Linked DNA regions of Astyanax mexicanus. The protein of the gene in region 1 interacts with the protein of each later gene in a pairwise test. Links are inferred from orthologs where the notes say so. Each region holds a gene or a part of one and is shown in the gene's direction. Other genes may lie near its edges.

Evidence for each region.
Region 2: the proteins of spry1 (region 1) and creb5b interact in binary tests that used the Homo sapiens proteins (3 or more experiments, as listed by UniProt). The two-hybrid records come from large-scale screens. The link is inferred for Astyanax mexicanus from reciprocal best matches to the Homo sapiens genes SPRY1 and CREB5.
Region 3: the proteins of spry1 (region 1) and gemin4 interact in binary tests that used the Homo sapiens proteins (3 or more experiments, as listed by UniProt). The link is inferred for Astyanax mexicanus from reciprocal best matches to the Homo sapiens genes SPRY1 and GEMIN4.

Annotation. Positions count from the first base shown.
Region 1 is NC_064426.1:1,107,121-1,114,920, reverse strand, and holds the start of spry1 (protein sprouty homolog 1), read left to right. Parts: upstream 1-4,702; 5' UTR 4,703-5,359; intron 5,360-7,205; 5' UTR 7,206-7,260; coding exon 7,261-7,800. UniProt on the Homo sapiens protein: Inhibits fibroblast growth factor (FGF)-induced retinal lens fiber differentiation, probably by inhibiting FGF-mediated phosphorylation of ERK1/2. Inhibits TGFB-induced epithelial-to-mesenchymal transition in lens epithelial cells.
Region 2 is NC_064413.1:42,689,230-42,697,209, forward strand, and holds the start of creb5b (cyclic AMP-responsive element-binding protein 5), read left to right. Parts: upstream 1-4,897; 5' UTR 4,898-4,970; intron 4,971-7,980. UniProt on the Homo sapiens protein: Binds to the cAMP response element and activates transcription.
Region 3 is NC_064425.1:16,115,035-16,122,456, forward strand, and holds the start of gemin4 (gem-associated protein 4), read left to right. Parts: upstream 1-4,345; 5' UTR 4,346-4,550; coding exon 4,551-4,560; intron 4,561-5,603; coding exon 5,604-7,422. Other genes in the region: dhrs13b.2 (tapasin-related protein), read right to left, coding at 1,663-1,708. UniProt on the Homo sapiens protein: The SMN complex catalyzes the assembly of small nuclear ribonucleoproteins (snRNPs), the building blocks of the spliceosome, and thereby plays an important role in the splicing of cellular pre-mRNAs.

The DNA of each region.
Region 1 (7,800 bases):
GCCCATTCTTTCTCTCTCTCTTTTTCTTTCTCTCCTTCTTTCTCTCTTTCTCTCTTTTTCTCTCTTGCATAATCATTGGGTCTCTCTGCTCCAGAGGAAGCGATCTATCTCTCGTGTGACACGGAGAGAAAAAGTGAGAGAGAGAGAGAGAGAGAGAGGGGAGAGTGGTGGACCTGTGTGTGCTGTTCATATATATATAAATATAAATATATAAGTATATATATATATATATAACTGGCCACTCACACTAAATATTATGTTTTAAGATAAAATATCTGCACCCAGAGGGAAGTTTGCAATTGTAATTCTGTTCAGAAGAAAGATAAAAATTATCAGGATCAATAAATGATTATAAATTTATTCTGATATTTAGGGTAATATTTATTGATCTACACAATATAATAGTATAGTAGTGTTTGTGTAACAGATGTGTAACGCTGCAACATAACAGATGTCTCAGCATGTAGTAGAGAGTTGTAGAGGTTCCTAATGTTCCTCCTGTCATTATCCATCCCATAATAACTCCAGTATATTCTATGCACAGTAGCTGCAAATTGTGGGGTAGGGGTATTATACCATAAATATCAGCCTAAATTTCTAATAATTTATTGATCCTGATCACTTTTATCTTCTTTATATATAATATATGTAATTTTATATTTAAACTGTTAGTTTTAAGTGTAAATTGTTGCAGTTTCTGTTGTTAAAATGCACAGTTCTGCAGAACGGTTCTCGAGTGCAGAGTTGGTTCTGTGGTGTAAAAATAGTTACCTGTAATTACTGGAAATATTTTAGCACACAGGTGGGTGTGTAATCTTTAAAAAAAACTGAAGGCTGTGCTAATTTGTGGTCGGGGCATGGTGCCATGCCACTGCATCTGCGTTCTGATCAGTGGAATAAGACGGCGTGTTCCGCTGAGCTGCAGGCCTGCAGGTCTCTGTGATTAGTCATGTGGCTGACATATTTACCCACAGCAAACTATACAGCATTATTGGTCAAATTATGAAAAGCATTCATGAAATATTTCAGGGTGATTACGCTCATCCAGGACTCTTATTCTGCCTGGAGTTTTGCTTGAGAGCGTAAACAGGTAACAGGTGGAATCTTTATGGGTGTCCAGTGTAGATAAAGGATCGTTCTTCAGTGTCCAAATAAAACCAGAGTCCAAAAATGTTCCTTAAAACTGATCCCAGAGTGGGTTAACATTTTTCAGGGATTAAAAAGCCATATGTTTTGACATTATTGGGACCAAATGTTCTTAAATATGATTGTAGAGACTAAATATCCCTAGATTTTGACATTGTAAGGACTGAATATTTCTAAACTTGACCTTGTAGGGGAATAAATATTCATAAATTTTGATCAGGATTGATGACAATTCCTACATTTTGAAATTTTGGAGACTAACTATCCCTAACTTTAATACAGGCATAATTTGACATTTTGGGGACTAATATTCGAACTTTCTTTTTTACTGTGGTACCGAATATACCTACATTTTAATGTTGTGTGGACTGAATATACCTAAATCTGACTTTGTGGTGATTTAATATTCCTGTATGACATTGTAGGTACTAAAAATCCCTGATTTCAACATTGTGGGGACTGAATATACCTAAACTGAATATTATGAGGACTGGGTATTCTTACATTTCGACACTGTGGGGACTGAATGTGTCTAAACTTAACATTGTGGGGACTGAATATCCTCAGATTTTACAATGTGGGGATCAGATATTTCTACATTCAGCACTGTGGGGGCTAATATTCCATTCCTATAAAGTTGACATTATATGTAATGTATTTAATATGATTATATAAATAAGGATTGCTGCCAACATCTTTTAAAAACACATCATAAAAGATTTTGAACAAATTATAAATATTGATAAATGTTTTGTTCTGTTTTGATTTGTAATTTTTTCTGTATTTTGAGTATTTACTCTTACTGTAAGTATTATTATGTATAAAGATCGTATAATATCTAAGATCCACGAATGATAAATAAATACTCTCTCTCTCTCTGTCTCTCTCTGTCTCTCTCTCTGTCTCTCTCTCTGTTTATCAGATAACTGCAGTGTGTCGTGAAGCTGCACTCTTCGCCCTTCAGGAGGACATTAAAGCCGAGCACATCACCGACCGGCACTTTGACTCCGCCCTGTCTGCTATTAAACCACGAGTCCCAGAATCCCTCATTCAGACCTACATCTCCTACCAGCAGCAGCATCACGGCACCCGGCCCTTCTGCTGACGGGGGGGCCGAGGGGGCCAGCGCCCCCCAGTATAAAGACTCTTCTACCCCCTGTAGGATCTGAACTGATTAACTGATAATAAATGGAGCTTCTTTATTGTCTGTGTTGGTCTGTACCAGCGTCCCACGTCAGCAGATTAAATAAACACCCCCCCCCCCCCCCCTCCTCCTCCCGTCCTGTGCTGTTGTTAAATTGTTTACTCGGAGGAAATGGATCTTGGACCTGCAGAACTCATCCGGCCTCCGATGAATTACGGGCTCCATAAAAAGTTTTATTTGATCACAAATTGGGAGTTTTATAGCCGTGCACTTTTCAGCTTTATTAATTTATTGCCGGCTCTGATCCTGAGAGACACACAAAGCAGAACTTCTCCTCAGAGCATAAATATACAGCTGATTAAAAACAAACACTGTAAAACTAAAACTGAAAAAAGAGCAAAAAAAAAGCTTAAAATAAAAGTATCAGCTAGTGCAATTAGCATAGCATGTGCTGTAATGACAGATTAAACATACAGATATATGTATAATGTATATATATATTTGTCTATATACAGTATAGACAGGACCACCTGGATATATCCAATTTAAGAGAATAGGTAAGAGACTAGTAAGTGAAAGACTATTGGTGTATATAACAACAGGGGTATATGTAGTAGAGGTTTATATAACAGTAGGATTATATATAAAAGTAGAGTTTTATATGACAATAGTTGTATATATAAGAGTATTGGTGTATATAACAATAGAGGTGTATATAACACTAGGGGTATATAAGAATATTGGTGTATATATAACAGTAGGGGTGTATATATAAAAGTAGAAGAGTATATAACAGTAGGTGCATATATATATATATCAGTAGATGTATATATGAGTACTGCTATTTATATAATAGGAGTATATAACAGTAGGTGTATGTCTAAAAGTAGACGTTTATATAAAAGTATATAACAGTAGAGGTGTATATATATAAGTATTTGGTGTATATACAGTAGGGAAATATATAACAGTAGGTGAGTATATACCAGTAGAGGTGTATATACAGTAGGTGTATATATATAAAGGTAGAGGTGTATATCTATATATAACTGCAGGCCTGTACTGGTGGCCCCTCCCCCTCCTGACTCTGTGCTGAACTTCCCCTTTTTCAGCAGGAGCCGGATGTGGCGCATCCGCGCGGTCAGATTGTGGGGCACGGGGGCTCCTCGCGCTTCTTAAGGTGGAGCCGCGCGTGCATGTTTACAATGGGTTTAACCCCCCCTTAACACACATACACACACACACAGCTCACAGCTCGCCTGCAGGATTAACCCCGCGTCCTGATTAGAAACTATCAGAAGAAGTATTGATCAGTGCTGATCAGACAGACTGTATAATTGATTAGTCTAGATAATAGAGATCAGTATTGATCAGTAACGATAGTTCAGTAGTGTCTATAAACTGAATGTAGACGCTGATATTAATCCGTATTGATCAGTGGTGCAGAAGTACACTAGTTATTACTGACATAAACTTATCAGTAGTAGTAATAGAGATCAGTATTGATCAGTAGTAAATATGCATGCTAAAGTGAATGAATAGTGATAAAAAAGATTAGTATTAATCTGAATGGATTCGTTATGATAATATCAGTTATGATCTACAGTTAGTGTTATCAGTACTGATTGTTAGAATTGCCTGTATTTAATAAAAGACACTGGCTATAATTAGTGTTAAAATTCTGACATTTAATCAGCATTCATTAGTTTAAACTAGTTTAAATAGTGGTTGGAGTTCTTCTACACTCACATTAATGCTTTTGGGTAAAAGGTGATTCTCTTAAATACTAAAAATAATGATAATAATAGTAATTAAGTAGGTAAGTATTATATTTATAAGACATTACTATTATTTAATTGTCTAATTCTGCACTGCAGTAACACAGTACTATAATCTATAAGAAACAAGATGTATATTTAATTAAAAAGTGCAGTTAATTATAAAAAGTACATATAAAACCATAGAGTAAAATCAATGTTGAATCAATTTGCACAAATACATCAGTTCTGATGGCAGAGATCAGCATTATGGATGTAAAAATTAACGTTTATTTCAATTTAGTTTAGTTTATTTCGGTTTAACAAAGTTACACACTTATATGCAAAGTGACAATAATAACAGTAATGATATAAAAATAAAAATATTAAGTGCACACCTTGTGAAGCTTTTGCATACATTAATTCAACATAGTTTCCTATGTAGGGCTGATTAATACTGATCAGTATTGATGAACAGTTTGTTAATCAGTGGTTTGATCAGTGATCTGCAGGGTGTAAAAGATCAGCCGCTCCGCTGCACGTTATTAACGCCGGTCCACCTTAAACCCCGCCCCGCCTCGCCCCGCCCGCAGCCCGTGGCCAATCGGCGCGGAGCGGATGCGCCGTGTCCGGTTTCAGAGCGCGAGGCGGAGCTGCGCTCCCATTCATTACCGCGGAGCGGAGAGAGCGCGAGCGATCTTTCACGCGCGCAGGAGAAGAGAAAACAGCGAAAACGCGAAAACACCAAAACACGAAGCGTAGCTACGAAAAAAAAGTTACCGTGCGAAACGGACGGACTACAACCCGCAGTACCCGGATTTACGCGTGACGTTCAGCTGCGAGGCTCATACGGAGCGCGAGAGGACATACGAGGGATTTCTGTTGTATTTTTTTTGGTTTTATTAATTCATTTTTACATTTTTTTTATTTTTTAACGTCTGCGCGCTCGTGCTTGGACTAAAACTGGGATTTCCTTGCGGCTGTGCAGCGCGTGCTAAAGGACACTATCACTGCAATTATTATTGTTGTTGTTATTTTTATTAATATTTATTTTAACGATAATATTTGCGAATATATCTATATATACATATTTTTGAACGCTACTATCATCAGTTTTCCTGGATTTAACGTCATTTCCCTGGATCACACCGAAAAGACTGGACTTGGAGTACCGCGAGCCCCTGTTTTTGTATATGGATGTATAGTGTCCAGACACACAGCGCGCGCGCCGTGAGATTTCCTGCGTGATTCTGGGAGACGCACGCGAGCCGCACTGGCTGATGGCGTCAGAGCTGCGGAGGAGCGCGTGTAGGTGCGTAGCTGCTGCTCGTGCTTCACTATTTTAACTACTAACTAAGTAACTAGCTAACTAACACGTCCCTTGTAGGGTCTTTTTTAGACCGTGCGTGCGCGTGCATGCACGCGCGTGCCCTGTTTACGCATTTCTAGGGAGGAAAGAGAGAAGGGGAAGGGGGGGTTTGTTACTGGGTTGCTTCAGTTGCTGTAGTTGCACCGAAAAAATAATAAAAGGCGCAACGCAACAACGTCTGTGCGCAAACTGAATCTGAATCTCAGCTCACAGACGCTCGTGCGTGCGTAGCCTCGAGCTTGCAATGCACAATGCATGTGCACTCGAATACACACTATACTATACTCCCTCCCGTCGCTGCTTATAACGCAGAACTGTCCGAAAACAAGGGAAAAATGTTTTTAGCAATTCGTTATTCGTTAAAAGTAGTGTGCACTAGAAAGAGTAACGTTAGTGTGTATTCTGTGTAGTGCACATGCATGCACGCGATCTCGAGGGCTCGAGGCTAGGTTGACTAGAGCCTACAGAGTTCTGTTACCCCCCCTCTACTACCCCTCCTCGCGCGGTAACTACCAAATACCCACCCCTCCCCCCACAGGGCTTGTTTTCATTCATAAGTTACCCCCCCTCCTCCCCTCGCTTCCTCTTGGACTCGTCCTCGACCTGCAGTGGCGGGGGGGGGGGGGGGGGGGTGCGTAAGTTAAGTTTTAAGTTTTGCGTAAGTTAAGTTGCATTGTGTGTGTTTTTTTCTTTCATTTGCGCTTTTTAAAAGGTGCAAAAATTGTGCGAAGTGTTAATTCTGGATATGGAGAGAAGTGTTTTGGCTTGTTTAAGCATGTTTTTTTAGTTTAGTGCTTTGAAGTTTTGCTTTAACTAAATATCTATTGGCAAAAACGTGATAAATAATAGTCTTTTGTTGTAAAATAGAGTTACTAATGTGTTATTAATGTGCATGAACAGCCTGCTGCTGAAGATTGTATATATTGGTATATATTGCGCTTCCCAACATAGCTGACAATGTGTAAATTACTTTTATTATCAATGTAATATATTTAGGGAAAAGCCATAGTCTGAGCAAAAAAGTTAGTCAAAGTCAGCAAGACAATAATATAAGAGGATTTTATTTATTTTAGAGTTTAGTCCAGTTTGTCCCATGGATTAACCCAGTTTGCTTTAGTTTGCTTCTAATCAGATTTGCAGAAGTGTCTATTAATGTACAAAATATTCTCAGTTTATCAAAAAAATGTTTATCAAAGTAGGTGGATTTATCCCATGTTGATCTTTAAATCTCCAAACAGCAACGGTTTTTACAGCCAGAAAAAGTTTCTTATAATTCGATTTGTTTTCATTGATGTAAAAATCAGTGGCAGATTTACATAGCCTAAATAAAATGCAGAATGTCAAATATGGAGATACGGGGGTTTTGCATGACAGTAGAGACACAAAGGTATAGAAGGTATAGAAGAGGTTAAGCTGGTGAATAGGTGCGAGTCGGGAATCGAGAAGTGTGAACGACTGTAGGAAACCATCCATTTGATTCACACCTGAAGAGTCTAACACCTAATGGCTCAGAGGCTTAATCTTAGTCTCTCAGACGGTCACAGTCTTTCATAGACTTTGATCAATCTAGAGCTGTGAAATTCTGCTGTTAACTTACATCTTATTGTTCTGTAATTTAATGTAACATTAAATCAATTAATTCTTTAAGGTCATAAACCAGTGTTGATTTTCTTAAACTGTATAGACTTTTCAGCTTTTCTGCTTTTTTTTATAAACTTTGGAACTTTGGAGCTTTTGTACTCATCTCTCTCCCTTTTTCTTTCTTTCTCTCCCTCTCTTTTCCCGACAGGTCGTCCGATGAGACTAGAGTCCGTGCTTGCGCAGGGAGTCGCTGATCAGGTCAGATGGATCGTCGCGGTCACCGCGGAGTCGCCGGATCAGTGGCGGTGATCCGGGAGCCGCCGGCGCCCGGGGAACGTCTGGACCTGGACCTTCCAGCCGGGGCCATCCTCTCCTTGGAGCAGATCCGAGCCATCCGCTCGTCTAACGAGTACACAGAGGGTCCCGCAGTGGCGGCACGCCGGCCTCCCGCCCCGGCACCCCGTGTCAGTGACAAACACGAGAGGACTCACGAGGTTATCCTCGTCAATGTGAACAACAACTACGAGGCGCGGCCCGTAGCCACCAGGCCGCCCACCCTTAGCCGCTCCACCAGCATGGGTAGCGCTGGGAGTTCCGGCAGTAGCGGAAGTGCGTCTTCGGAGCAGGGCTTGCTGGCACAGTCTCCGCAATCGCGCCACCACCAACACCATCATCACCTTCACCATCATCACCACCACCACCATCAACAACAACATCAACAGCAGCAGCAGCAGCATCATCACAGCAGGTCGGAAAGAGCCGTTCGGACTCAGCCCAAGTCTCTAAGCTCGCCCATGCAGCCG
Region 2 (7,980 bases), on another chromosome or scaffold:
CAATACCTTGACATTGCATGACTATTGTTGTTCATTTACAATTCTGGATGCAGTGCCATCTGAGGGATCAAAGCTCAGTTAGATTCAGTATAGACTTGTGCCCTTGCCCTTTACACATTGAAATTTCTCATGATTGATTGAATCATGCAATGGTATTATGCACTGCAGAGGAAGAAATCTTCAGATCTCTTCCAGTATGTCTAGGGAAATGTTGTTTTTAAACATTTCAATACTCTTTTTATGCATTTGTTACAATTTGGAGATCCTTTGCCTATATTTGCTCCTCAAAGAGCAAACAGCTCTTTGTGGATACTGCTTTCCTACTAAATCTTGATTATAATCTCCTGTTTACATCACCTGATTGAAACCACATAATTAGTTAGTTTTTCTTCTTTACTATACCCCAATTTCTCCGGTTCCAACTTTTTTTGGAGTGTGTTTCAGGCCTAAAGAGCAGGAAGGGGTGTATATTAACAAATAAAATGAAGCTGAACAGACAAAATAAAAGTAAGATAAAAACTGTAAATGTGCAATTTTATTAGAACTGTTCATAGTTAACGTTCTCAATGCATTTAAGCAGGACCCTGAATCCACTGTTGAATGGTGAAGGGTGAAGATTTTGCCTTTTTTATTCCACGGTAACAGTGATATCCTTTCTTTAACCTTGTGCAAAGCAAACCTGTGCCAGTTAAAAAGAGCTACAGACTGTTTTTTACATTATCAAGTTACAGCAGTATCACTATTGCGGTGACCTTGAAGATCAGTATCAAAACTTGCCATATTACTTTACCTCTCTACACTATGGGTATTTAGACCTTTGTGTAATATGAATAAGGTAAGAAATGTATCATTATTTTATTTATTAACATTGGTTCTACTGTCAGCTTCAGGTGCGTGCTCTATTCATATTTATTTATTGTTATATATTGTATTTTAATTAGCACAGATTATCTTCATACATCTTCAGCTCAGCACATAATATATTTAACATATACAACAGGTAAATTAGATGTGGTATAGTTCTGTGATTAAATGTTTATTAATTATTTTAAAAGTGTAACTGTCATAATTTGTCTAATAACGTAGATGTGTACACTGTATGTATAGTGCAGTGTATAGTGATTAATAAACATTATTATTGGGTATTCTTACCTTTAAACAGAGAACACATGTTTTTAAAGGTATGATAAAGCACTTCCTTTTCATAAATAAGGTACCGTGTGGTACGACTGTGTTACGATGTTACCTGCATCATATTACGTCTGCTTGGAAATTATCTCAGGGCAAAGAAGTCACAGCTTTGATTCTGTAACACCATCTTCTAAATCCAACACTTGCGGGCAGACATAATCCTGCCAATAATTTATTTACCCACTGGCACTTCCATTATTTAGTATGAACTGAGACACTGGTGAGCCTGGCACAATTAGTCACGCTGGCCTGCTGACCAGGGGATGAAACCAAAAATGCCCCAAGTGCAAGAGTGTACCAGTGTGTGTGTGTGTGTGTGTGTGTGTGTGTGTGTGTGTGTGTGTGTGTCAGATAAACTGGAGACAGCATCATTTAAAGTAATTCTAGTACTATTGCTGCATAACACACTATAACAGTGGTCCTCCTTACAGATAAAAAGATGATGTTTTCTACAAGTAGAGCAATGATCCTAAATGACCTAAACCCTATTTTTTTTTCTCTTGTTCTTGTGGTCAGAACTTGATCATCAATAGAAGGACTAAAAGTTGTGCATGGCAACACATGGGTTAGAATTTATAAATCTCGCAGCATCTACTTTTTGTTCTGACAGTCAATCCCAAAAAAGTTTTTCAATTAAAAAAATCAAGACATAGGAAAGAATCACAGTTCATGTCAGTTATGTAGTTCTCTTTGAAAGTTTTCTTGCTCTTCCATACTTGTACTTTTTGGTGTTTTTATATATTTATAATCCTTTTCTAGTTTTGTGTACATATTTCCATCATCATATTTCCATCATTGTCATATTTCCAACAGTTATTGTGTATAAACCACCACTCTTAACAAGTTAACCCACATGGTGCTCCTTTCTTATAATAAAAGTAATGAACAAATCTTATTAAAAATGTCAAGAAGAATATTTCTTCGCAATCTTTATGCTATTTGGAGATCAGCTCACCTTTATGTCACTGAATTATTTCCAGTAACTCGAATTTTGACCATGGGGAGTCCAAATATTTGCAGACCATTGTGGCTAGACTGCGTCTAATACTTCTGTCAGTTCCTTTAGAAGAGTAAACGTTTCAGCACTTGTGACATTATATTGTTAGCCACTGTTGTACTTTTATGCTCTGCCCAAGGTTAAATATAGCCAATTTATTGATATGTGTGTTGTGGAAGGACGCGTTTTCAGACAGGCTGTCTAGACAGTGGCAGTGAAAACGGCTCTGTGTGTGAGTACAGCTCTCTTGGTGGAATCGTGTTTAAAGCTCTAGAGTTGAATGTCGATTCCCAAATGCCTGGAATCAAAGAACTGGCTTTTTGGTGAATTTGTTCCCAGCCCATTAAATTGATAGGACATTATAACAACTACAGTAGTTAACTACACAAACAAACCAGTTAGCCATAATATTAAAACCACTACTTAGTATGTGTTTGTCACTTTTTTTGGGTAGTGTGAACACTGCATACAGGGATCAGCCCACAAGACCTGCCTGGTGTTTTGGAGATGCTCTAACCAAGTTTTGTAGCCATCACAATAAATGCACAGTGGCTCAGATCATTATGATGATCCTTATGATTGCCCTGCTTCTAACACAACTACCTAATATATCCCTCCCCTAGAAAGGTACAGCAATAAAATCCATTTATTCATCTGTAATCAGACTAAGACAGTACTGGAATATAATTATCTATTATAATATTGTAAATCAAATGTATTATATACTTATATATTTTATTAAATACTTATCTCATTACTACATGGTTTAGAGTTCCAGTGACAGAAATATGTGCTTTAACAGGAATGCAGTTGGAGGTGTATGACTATTGTATTAATTTGCTATGTCTTTCAATTTTTTTTTTGATTAGTGCTCAAAATGTGCCGGTACTAACCAGTTAATAATAGGCATCTCTTGCTTAGATGACAACTTTGCACATCTTGATATTTTCTCAGTCAGGTTTATGAGGTTGTCACCTGGAATGGCTTTCAGGTAACAGCTGTGCTTTGTCAAGGGTTAATTATATTAACTCTTTAGGTAATTTAAATAACTACTTGAGGAGGCCACATAAAAGCTTCACAGAGTATTTGGTTTTGTTTAACACATTAAGTTTGCTACATGGTTCATTATGTGTTCCTTCATAGTATGGATGAGTTTAATATTAATTTACAATGTAGGAAAAAAAACATTGAATAAGAAGGTGTGGAAACTTTTGACTTGTACTGTACATAAGTTTATAATAAAACATAGCACAAAATTAAGGAAATTTGTGTTTGTTAGATTATTTCTTTGTTGTAACAATGCTTCTTATGCTTCTTCCATATCATTGAAAATACTGTTAATTATAAATTTAAATGCTGCCACATTTGTAAGAAACATGCATTTGTGAGATGAACAGCAGAGCTGAGTATGTGGGTTTGAGATTAAGAAAAATTTGCCAAATCTTCTCTGCCATTGCCAAACAGCTTATATTGCTGTTGCTTTTGACACTTATTTTGAGCTTCTGGTACAGCCTGATTGGCACCTTATTGGCAGCACCAGTGAGCCTGGGCACTGCTATAGTGGTCAGTAGGTATCTGCTCCAAGAATCAGCTTGCTACGTTTGACAGATGTGGATAGGACCAGTGCAATAGGGCTTCAACTTCAAACTGGTGTTCCGCAAAAACAAGTTGCAGCATTATTTGAAGTGATCCCTGGTAGCATTTTCAAACTGAAGGCCAGGTTCCATATAATAAGGGGTTTCAGGGACAGACAGAAAAGTTTGCATCCCAAGTAGAGACTAACATGCATGAAATTAACATGCTTTCCAATGAAATAATCTACCAAACACAAATTTTCTCACTTTTTATGCTATGATTATATTATTTTGCTCTGGTTTAAATCACTTGATAATTTGGTGTCACGGTTGGGAGCAGGAATGAGACATGCAAGTATTTATTAAAATCAAAGGAATAAAGAAATAAAAAAACAGAAACTAAAGGAAACACTGATCACATAGATAACATAGGACCACGAAACCTGAATGACATTAGATGTACAACCAAAGACAAATAACACTGGGACAAGGGAGACTATAAATGCAAATGGACAAAAAATACAAATAAAAAACACCTGGGACCGGGTAACAAGGGGGCAGAGCTAAAAAACGAAAAATGAACATGTGAGCAACAGGGGCGGAGACACAGAATAAAGACAGGGCATGTGCAGAGGAGGGTAAATAAACCAGAGAGACGCAAAACCAGACGAGAAGGTGACACTTGGAGCATTTTGGAGTCCAGTTAAACTTGAGTAAAAAGTGCTAACACCCATTACAGACAGTACAGGTCCTAATGACAATAATACAAACTTTAATGTTTTTTTTAATGTAAAAATGTTTGCAGTATTTGCATTAAGACATTTTATTATAATTATTATTCTTTCTTTATTTTTTATCATTTAATTAATTGTTTGATCCGTAAGTGATATGAGTCGTCTATTTTTCACTTTAAAGTACTTTAAAACTCAATGTCCTGCAAGAAGTATCCTACTATCTCCAGCCTGAACTCAGCCAGCTGTGAGCTGTGAGTGTTGCGGCTCCTCCTCGACCCCGCCCACATCCCTCAACCCCCGCCCCGTTTCCACGAAGCCCCTCCTCGCGGACCGCAATGATTTAGAAGTTCAGGAATCCCACGTGACGTCACCGGAGGGTGATGTAATGCTTCTGTAAATAGCTCGTATTGTAATCTCTCCTCAGTCCAGCGTGGTTCCTTCAGAAAGGCGCTGCATCTTCTCCGCGCTGCTGTGGTAAGTCTCCAGGCTGCTGCTGTGAACTGTGTGTAGACTTTTCTGCTGCAGGAGAAACAGAGAGAAAGAGAGAAAGAAAGAGGGGAAAGAAAAGAAGAGAAAAAACAAACGCACGCTCGCGGGCTGCGTGAACTTGAGCTCGTGCCGTTGGCGGTGATGATGGCCGTCCGTGCTCTGGAGCTCGAGCGCGGGTGACAAGTTGCTTTTGTGCTTTGATGCGTCCCGGGGATGTTTTTTTCCCTGACGTTGTCGTTTGGTGCTCCGAGTTTTTTGAACGTTTGAAAACGTTCCTTTGTGAAGTTTAGCTGCAAGTAACAGGTTTGTGTTCGCTCGCGCGTGTTTGTTTGCATGAGGAGCAACAGCAGAAACAGCAGGAGCTCGTGCCGTGATCTCCAACCGGCATTTCTGCGTTTATCAACGTTGAATAAACGTCAGCGTCATATTAAGTTCATATCACCGTTTTGATTCTGAAACATAAATCAGTGTTGGTGCTGAAACATTGTTTTGACATCTTATCTTTTTTTTTAAACATTAACTAAACTCTAGCCAAAAAAAACTTTCCCTATTCTTTCCAAAAGTATGGTGGTTCGATAGAAGGTTTACTAAAAACAGTAGTTCTGTATGTACAGAACAATGAACACCATGAAAAACTGTGCATGTTGATGAAAAGGTTCCTCAGATGGAAGCAGAACAAGTAAAAAAAAACGTTGACAAGTTTGTTCACACACTTTATTTACTTTCTAGTTGGAGTTTAAATATTTTATCTTGTGATCAAAATGTAATAAAGTGGTGATACAGTCATAATAATGATCATATTTACAAGATACATACATCACGTTGAGTGATGTTCCAAGTTAAAATTTCAACATTGATTTATGTCACTTATTAACCTTTTCATAGAAATTATTTTAAACATGTTCTCTATTTTTTAAAACTCTTGAATGTAGATATTTTCTTTCTATTAAGTCATACAGTCAAAATATAACAATAAGATGTTAAAAACATAATAATGATCATATTGATACGACAAAAACATTCCACTAATAACAAGTTGATACAGCTGACATTATTTTAACTATTTCAACTTTGAAGGTCGGTCATGTGCCAGCTGGCTAAACTTTGCTTTGTTGTTTTGAAGTTTATGTCACTGAAGTTCTTGCTGCTGCCCTCGTCAGAGAACCGGTGCCCAGATAGTTAACATGCATATGTGGTGGTCTGTATGGGTAGCTTAATGGACCCGGCAAGTTTTGTTCGTAGGCTTTTTTTTTTCATACTGGCTCATGAACATTGGATGTGGATGTCAGTGATGGGACCTGTAGGGGTTGGTTAAACGTGGGCTTAATCTGGGTTGTACATTGGGTTGCATGCACATGGAGCGTGGATGAGACCCATATGACACTAAGGTGGTCGGACTGTGTGATATGGCCCATTTGGGAACAAAGTAGCCCAAAACACGTGCTGCTACAAACTTATTTCTAGCCCATGCCCACATGAAAGCCACCTAGCCCATGTTGCACCAATATGAGCACGCTCACTCGCGTGCTTGTTTGTTTGTGTCTGTCCCGGTCGGCCGGGCTCGCGCTCTTGCTCTTTTCCTGCGCGCGCGTGGTGACAGCAGCTGCATGCACGCTTCTGCCGCTGCTGCTGCATATTGTGGTGTTCCGTGCAGGCACATGCAACTGGTGCGCGCGGGTTCTCTGGGACCTGTACCCATTCATTGATCCGCGCCGCGCGTGCACATGCTTCCTTGCCTTCACTGTGTGCTCGTGCCGCCTTTGATATGAAAGACCCCCCGGGTTTTGCTGCTCTGTCCCGCAGGAGGGGCAGACACAGCGCGAGCTGACAGCCAGCAGTCTAGCAACCCACTGTCTGTCTGTCTGTTTGTCTGCATGCATGCATGTCTTCCTGTCTGTCCCACTGCGTTTAGATCTGCGTCGCTTTGAATCTCGCTCGCTCTACAGTATAGTTATCTTATCGCGTTTGTAAATTTCTTTGTTTTTTTTTCAGTAAAAACACGCGCTCTGCAACAGAGCATGACGTCATGCTGCAGGCCAGCCCGTGTGTTTGATTAAGCGCTGAGATACTGAAGGATTGAGGGTCTTTAGTGCTGAGCCAGCACACCGGGGGGTTTCAAAAGCCCACAGGCTGAAACACTGTTTATAATCTACAGTCCCACTCACTAATGACGTCTAGACTCACTAGCACGAGCAACAAATCAAGTGACTAATTAATGGTATTAACACTATTATTGTTGATTTCAGCTCTTATCATAATTAACCAATAAGAGCCCAGACCCATTTCTGAATATTGATGCCAAATTCAAAATTAAATCAGATAAATTCAGTGAGCAGCTCATTCATGTTTTTTCTTATGGTGGCCACATAACATGACTGTTAATATTTTAAGCTTAAAACCTTGATGTTGCACAAATTACACTTAACAGCATTTTCATAACTTTTTATTTTAACATTTTGTTCTAGCAAGCATATCAGAACTAGTTATACGAAACATAAAACTAACATTCATTTAAAACATTTGTATTGTTAAATGTTTAGAACAGATCAGTAACAATAAAAAGTACACTTTAAAAAAAGAGAGCTACTTTTATCTCAAATACTAACCAGGCACACCTACATTTTGTAGCTAACTAAATAAGGTCAGATAAATGAACGCACATTAACACACTGCCCTGTAGTGATGCTGTCAGGATGTTCAGTAGCTATATGTCGCTTAGAAACTTCATGAGTTCAAAGTGAAGGACCTTAGCTTTTAAAGGGTGTTAAATTAACAGCGTTTATGTTCATTTCACACTGCGGGTGTTAAATTGTAAGAACCACAGTGTTAATCTAACACGAACAGTATTAATTTAACACTAGCAAATTAACCGTGTGCTACTGGCAACTACTACTATGTTTATAATATCTGTGCATATCAGATTTTTTATTTACAGCTGTATTAACTTATTAAAACTACTAAATGTAAAATTAAGATTTTTTATTATAAAATTTTG
Region 3 (7,422 bases), on another chromosome or scaffold:
CCACAGGACCAGGGTTTCAGTGTTATGTTAGCCAACATGGTGTTAATTACCTAACATTTAATAGGCCATGCCAGCCTTCACCATCCCGACTTGACACAATTGTGTGTTAAAGTTGAGAACAAGATAGTGGGTGGAATTGGAGATCAGGACGAATTCACTAACCCTGGGTTTCACTCATTCCTGTTACCGTAAAACATTACCCCTTCTAAAACATTTAGAACATTCTACAAGTCACATCTACAACAGGAAATTACATCAGTTGGTTCTTTTGAAGGGCATAATTAAGTTTTCATTTATTCTGCTGTATATTTGATCGTTTTGTAACAATGACTTAGACGGGCAATCTCAACACTTGAACATCCGGTCAACTTAAAAAAAAAAAAAAAAAAATTGTATTTTATTTTAAAACATACTTTTTTTTCCCCCATTTTCTCCCCAGGAGGGTGAAGATTAACACATGCTTCCTCCGATACATGTGAAGTCAGCCACCGCTTCTCTTCGAGCTGCTGCTGATGCAGCATTGCCAAGCAGCCAGCGCGATTGGAGGAAAGCGCAGTGACTCGGTTCTGATACATCAGCTCACAGACGCCCTGTGCTGTGGAGATCACCGTAGGAGTGATGTGGGGAGAGAGCGCCATCTACCCAGCCGGAGGGAGCAGGGCCAATTGTGCTCCCTCTGAGCGCCGGCAGCTTGATGGTAAAGCTGCATGAGCTGGGGTTCGAACCTGCGACCTACCGCTCATAGTGGCAGCGCTTTAGACCACTGGACCACTCGGCGCTTAAACATAATTTTAAAATGTCACATGAGTTTGAAACCATCTTCACCTCAGAAACCTTGTAAACAATTAAGTAAAGCTGTCTGAGATTGACCAGCACATGTTTTGAATAGTTAAATATGTGCTATTAGATTCAGAGTTGAAAAAAAGATAAAAAAAAATAAGTTTCATTTGGAAGAGCAAGAGTTACAACAACAAATGGCCCATTAATGAATTCCCTAGTTTTAAGCTGTGGAGCAGTGTTTGAAATGTGTTATCTGGAATGATGGTGCTCCACTCATTACTTTTGGGAAAAAGCTTGGGAGTTGGGTGTGAATGAGATGTGGTGGTGATCATTCATCCAACATCCTGCTTTCGAAACTGAATGCAATAAAATCCTCATAGCAATGTTAGCTAGTTACTTCAACAGAAGCAGAATTCATGATGAACAAGCAGGTGTCCCAACACTTTTGCCAACATAGTATTTCAACATGCATGTCACATATAAACTGATACTGATTCTCAGTGCCACCTCTAAATATAATATCTCTAAATATAAACAAGCATGCAGAAGGTCACCATTAGTGTGTGGGGCTCTAGCCTTATATTTTCAGTTGAGAAAGTCCCCTGCTTCTGGAGAATCAAAACTGAAAGCAAGTTTATCCCAAGTAGTAATTCTAACACTAGATTATATTAAAACATAGACACATACATTAGACATGAAAACAATGTCCTAAAACACATCACACCTACAGTACAGTATATATTTACATGTATATCAAAACGGATAATATTGTTATACACCTTACACTGGAGTCTACTGGAAAAACATGCCTTCAATATGCACCTGTGTGTCTTTATGAGACACGTCATACATTAACCAGACCTCGAGCCATCTTCAGCTTACCTGAAGCTAACACTGCGAGGAAAAGACCACCAAACACAACACTCATGATAAACACGACCACCTGGACACCTCCAGCGCGAACAAACCGCCATGCAAATTAACAAAGTAACTACTGCACTGATCTGCTTTCACTTTCAATTCAGCGCTGCTCCCAGTCCCTCCCACACCTACACCCACCCCTCTGATCTACAGGGGCTTCAGGAAGATCTGACCAACAGACAGACTCACTTATTCACTCAATCATTTATTCATTAATTCATACTAATCTATCATATCAAACTGACAGAGGAATATACATGTGTATGAAATTAATGTGGACAAATGACACACGTACATGTACAGTAGTCTGGCCACGTGAGGGCGCCAGTTATAAACTTCCGACAGATTTCTCTATCATCTCTGCTCTCATTGGTCTGGGAAGCTTATGCTTACCTACCAGAGACAGGGTTGCCAGGTCCAATAAAAATATCCATCCCAAAGTCAGTCTAAAACCCGCCCTTCAGAATCTTAAACTAGCTTTGTCACACGTTTGAAGCAAATGACAAAACAACTATGAGTGCACGACTTAGTATTTTGTTTATACGGGATTTATTATCAGTAGTGCTATTTATCTTGAAGTCATTAACAATATTGTAACATCATTGATGTTTTATCAGTTATTTTATAACAGTTTTATATCCCAGTCAAGAACATTTAATAGTAACATAATTAGCTAAAAAAAAGAAAGAACTGACTTTTCCTTTTTTCTGTTTTTGCCCTTCCTGAAAACTCTTTTTTCCTCTTTAACATTTTTTTAAATCGCCTTGTAATTTCTGGTTACATGGAGATTTTTTTGTTTGTTTTTTGGCGGCCGCGGTAATTTTTAAAAGTAGCCCGAAAAATGTTTTACCCGCGACTGGATTTATAAACAAGCCCAATTTGTCGGGAAAACCACGAACCTGGCAACTCTAACCAGAGAATCTTTAGTAGAGAGGAGAGATTACGCACTTCTGAATGTTGTCTGGGTTTGTTGAACCACCAGGGGGCGTTCCAAAGTAAGTCCAAAATGAATGGGTTCCTATGGAGCCACTTCATAAATACACTCCAAATCCACTCCAGTTTTATTAAACAATCATGGAACCACTTTACACAGGGAACCACCGTGTTCTCAGTGTAAAGATGGTGCAGACAGTGTTAGAGTTACTGGGTGAAATGGTATTGTAAATTGTTTATAAGCATAATTACTGTAAATTAAATCCACTCCAGTTTAACTCTGTATTCTGCTGTAAACAACTGTATGAATAAAATTAAAAAACATATATATATATATATATATATATATATATATATATATATATATATATATAATATAAGGCACACTAGTACTGTACGTGTAAGAAGTAAATGCACTTCAACCTGCATAAAGGGGGAAACATTTTCTGAGGTAAAGTTATAGTAGCAAAGTTTATGTAAAATAATACCGCAGACTAACTGCTGTGCCAGGTAATATAGTTTATTTATATTAGCAATAAATCTTTCAAATATTACACATGCATTTACCCAATTTAACAAGGGTAGGGAGACCAGACAATCCCAATACTTTAAATAGCTTTAAATAAACTGTATGGCAAAATTAACTACAACAGCCGAACTTTTGTAATTACAATTTAGGAGAGAAATACAGTAACTGATACAGTAATTGTATTCTTTTAATTAGCATATATATAATTACACAACAACAAGAGTGTGTCTAACAAACTGACATAAGGAAACATTACCTTATAGGATGCCCAACCTTCATATGTTTTTCTCTTAGGTTTAAATCGCTATTTATAAATCTTTTTGACTCAGTGCTCTGACGGTAATTCAGCATCAGCTCTCTAACCAACCAGTCAGTTCACAGTAATGCTAGAGTGTTAACTGCCTAAACCTGTTTACTGAAGAAAAACTGAACAATATAGATAAGTTTTCTTTACTTTTTTTTAATAATGCATCTTTCTACTTTCTACAATTAAATAAATATCTTGAGCAAGTTCTTAATTTCTATTTTTTACTGTATTTTTTTAGCATTTTAGCTTTATTCACCCCCATTAATTTTTGACTCGCTCGCGGGCTGACTCCAGATTTAACAGTCATTTTTTTAAAGTGTGCATGCTCTCTACACAAACCAGCTTCTGCTCCTGCAAGAGCCGGTTTATGGCGAGCATGCCCACTTCCTTTGTAGAAAATGAATGTGAATCGCTAGAGGGAGCCAGTGAGCGAGTCCAAAATGAATAGGGGTGAATGGAGCTAAATGGTTAAAACTTTAGTAAAAAATAGTAATTAGCTATTTTTAACTAACTAGGATATTCATATAATTTAGGTACAACAAAATATGTTGCTAAAAGGGCAAACTAAAATTATCTATATATGTCTGTTGTTCTACACTAAACAGGTTTTGGGGAGTAAACACGCTAGCGTTGATGCTACACTGTGAGCTGACCGGTTGGTTAGAGAGCTGATGCTGGAGATACAGCCAGAACAATGAGTTTAAAGTGTTATAACTAGAGTTTATAAGCTTGAAAATCATGTCTGCACTGCAGAAACATTTAGTATTGTTCTGTTTTAGGGAAAATTAGTACATTTCACAGAAAAAAAATATTAAACATTAATAAACTCTGATTTTGCTCGAACCGGAAGAGATTCTGTAGTGTGTATTCTCGTTTCTAAAGGTTCTCTGCTCCTACGAACAGCTCTCGGTGGGAAACTTCAGTTCTGTCCTCGTGCTGATAAAATAAAACACTCGCTGTAAATAACCGGTTTAATCCTGTTAAACTGTAGGTTAAAATAACCGATATTATCTTCACGAAAACCACGTGACCAAACGGACTAAAGAATAAACACATGGTTCTGTTCGGCTGAATAACAAAATGGACCAAGGTAAATACACCACTGTTTCTGAATGAGTTTCCCTGATTTTGCTATTTATAGGTATATATTTAAGTAAAATGAACATTGTTGTTTTATTATATAAACTACGGACATTTCTCCCAAATTCCAAACATGAATACTGTCACTTAGAGCAATGGTTTGCAGAAAATAAGAAATGGCTGAAATAACAAAAAAGATGCAGAGCTTTCAGATCTCAAATAATGCAAAGAAAACAAGTTCATAATCATACTTGGTGGAATAACCCTGGTTTTTCGGCATGTTCTCCTCCACTAGTCTTACACACTGCTTTTCGATAATTTTATGCCATTCCTGGTGCAAAAATTCACGCAGTTCAGCTTGGTTTGATGGCTTGTGATCATCCATCTTCCTGTTGATTATATTCCAGAGGTTTTTAATTTGGTAAAATCAAAGAAACGCCTCATATGTTGTTCGTGTGAAATCATTACTATATAATAAGCAATAATTGTCAATGTGAAACATGAATCTCAGAAACAGCAGCTGTACAGGAGAGAGACAAAACCTTTTTGACTTTCAAAGGAAGTAAATTGGATAATTTCTGGTGGTACATTCATCAAGAAATGTTGACACATTTAAGACTAAAATATATTTATGTTTGCAGCATTGAAACTGTATTTACATTTTTTACATTTACATTTACTGTGGGTGAGATTGGCACCATTAGAACCAGCCTGTTATTTTGTGTAATCAATACTTTATTTGTTCTAATTGTAGAAGAATTGGCAGCAACTGGTTGTATTATAGATTTAAAAAACAAATGTTGCCTCTTTGTAAATCTGTAAGTTTTAGTGCACTGAATCATTCATGCTTTAAACCAATAAAACTGATGACTGAAAACATAGAATGTACCTAGGTAATCACATAACGTCCTGTTAGATATTGTAAAAATTGCAAATCTGCTGCCTATTTTGGATTGTGAGATGTGCAGTCATGAATGTATCAGAGTACAATATAGAACAGATTCTAATCTACATTAAATTAAATTGAATTTGTTTTGTGTCTTCTTCCTACAGAATCCTGGCTGAGCTGTGAGAAGACTGCTGTCCTGCAGGGTGGGTTTCTGCTGGCTAATCAGTTGTGCCAGCCAGCACCTCTCTCTGCTTTGAGAAAAGAGGACTGGGAGCGAGTTGGGCGGCCAGTAGTTCAAGCAGTCACCGAGATATGTGGACAGCGGTGTGGAGGCAACCAGGACCAGCTTAACTGGAGAAAAAGGATTCTCTGTATAGTATGGAGCAAGATCTTGGAGATGGAGACAGGAGAGGATATTGATGTCCAGTGGAAGGAAAATCCACTGTTTTCTGTTCAAAGCAGCCTACCTGATATAAACCATGTGGTTATGTTTGAGTTGGTGAAATCAGTGGGTTTCTACAGCATTTATGTTGAATTGCTCCAGTGCTTTCAAGAAGCTGAGCAGTGGAGAGAGCTGGAGAGGTTAGCGAAACATGTCTCAAGTGATTGCAAAGAGGAGGATGTGAAGTTCTTGCTGGAGGTGTGGTGGGAGATGATGAAGGGACGGAGGGAATCGCTGGATAATCTGGACCAAATCTTTAGTGCCCAGTGCATACGATTTGGACAGATCACCTCAGACTGCTCATCTCAGGCTTCAAAGCGATTTAAACCAGACCCAGAAGCTGCTGTACCCAACATGTGCATATTTTCTCTTTTGTTTGAGACACTGAACAGCATAAAAGAGTGTATAACCTCTCCTGGACTGTGTTATTTTGGTCTCTCCAACTGCCTAGACATGCTGTATACTTCCTTCATGTTAGATCATGCAGTGGAACTCCCAGTTGAAGTTAAACTGCAAAACATTGCTCGCCCAGTAAGCCAGCGAAGGAAGAATTCTGTCTTGGAGGGAGCTGAACTTGCTCAGGCCATATTTGAAGCCCAGAGAGATCTTGCGGCCACACTAACTCCAGCTCAGAGCAAGCCGTGCGGAATGACCTTTGCACAAGCCATGGAGACGCTACTTGGAATAATATGCTCATGGGAAGCAAAGGCATTGCTGACAATGTCCAACCAACCAAGTGAACCAAGTGTCCTCGCATTCCGTCTCAAAGACAGTCTGCAAAGAGTCCTGGAGGCTTTAGAGCGGATGAAATCTGAAAATCTAGATGAAAATGGACAGGCCTTGATTAATTTGAAAAAGGCTTTGACTGATTTGCTAGCTTCCTCATCTTTTAGCATGTCTGAAAGCCCCTCAACTGAAATAGCAAGTGTTGCTACAGCCATTCTTGACTGTAATCTGCAGGGTTTCCAGGACCTTCCTAAACTCTATGCCTCCAAACTAAGCCAAGCCATCAGTGAGACAGAGTGGTTGAACTGTCTCGAACGAAACAAAAGTGCATTCCAGCAAAAAGACCTGGTTATGACCCTGGTTTCTACTCTTATAGCCAAAAGCCAGGGTGATACTGACGTAAATCAGTCTAAAAAACTGAAAAACATTATTATGGACATTTTCTCCCAGCTTCTGTTGCCTGACAAGAATGCAGCACTTTCTGAAATCCTTAAATTGTCCAAGAAAGGCTTACATGGATTTCTTCCGAGCTCTGTTACAGCAGGCTACGATGGGGAACTCAACCTAGCCTTCAACAGCATCATTCAGGGTGGAGCTCAGGCGAAAAGCAGCCTGAGCTCGGCAGTCTCAGCCGTAGCTCGTGTTGCCTTCCAGAACCCTGAGGCTGCTTTGGGCCGATGTTGCCACATGGCTGTGGTGAACCTTGGGGCTCATACTTTTCTTGCACAGATTCTCCAACAGCTGCCAGGCCTCAGGAGCTCTCAGGAGCAGAATTTGTTATGCAGGTGCCTGCAGACCAGTGTGTGGAACAAGTT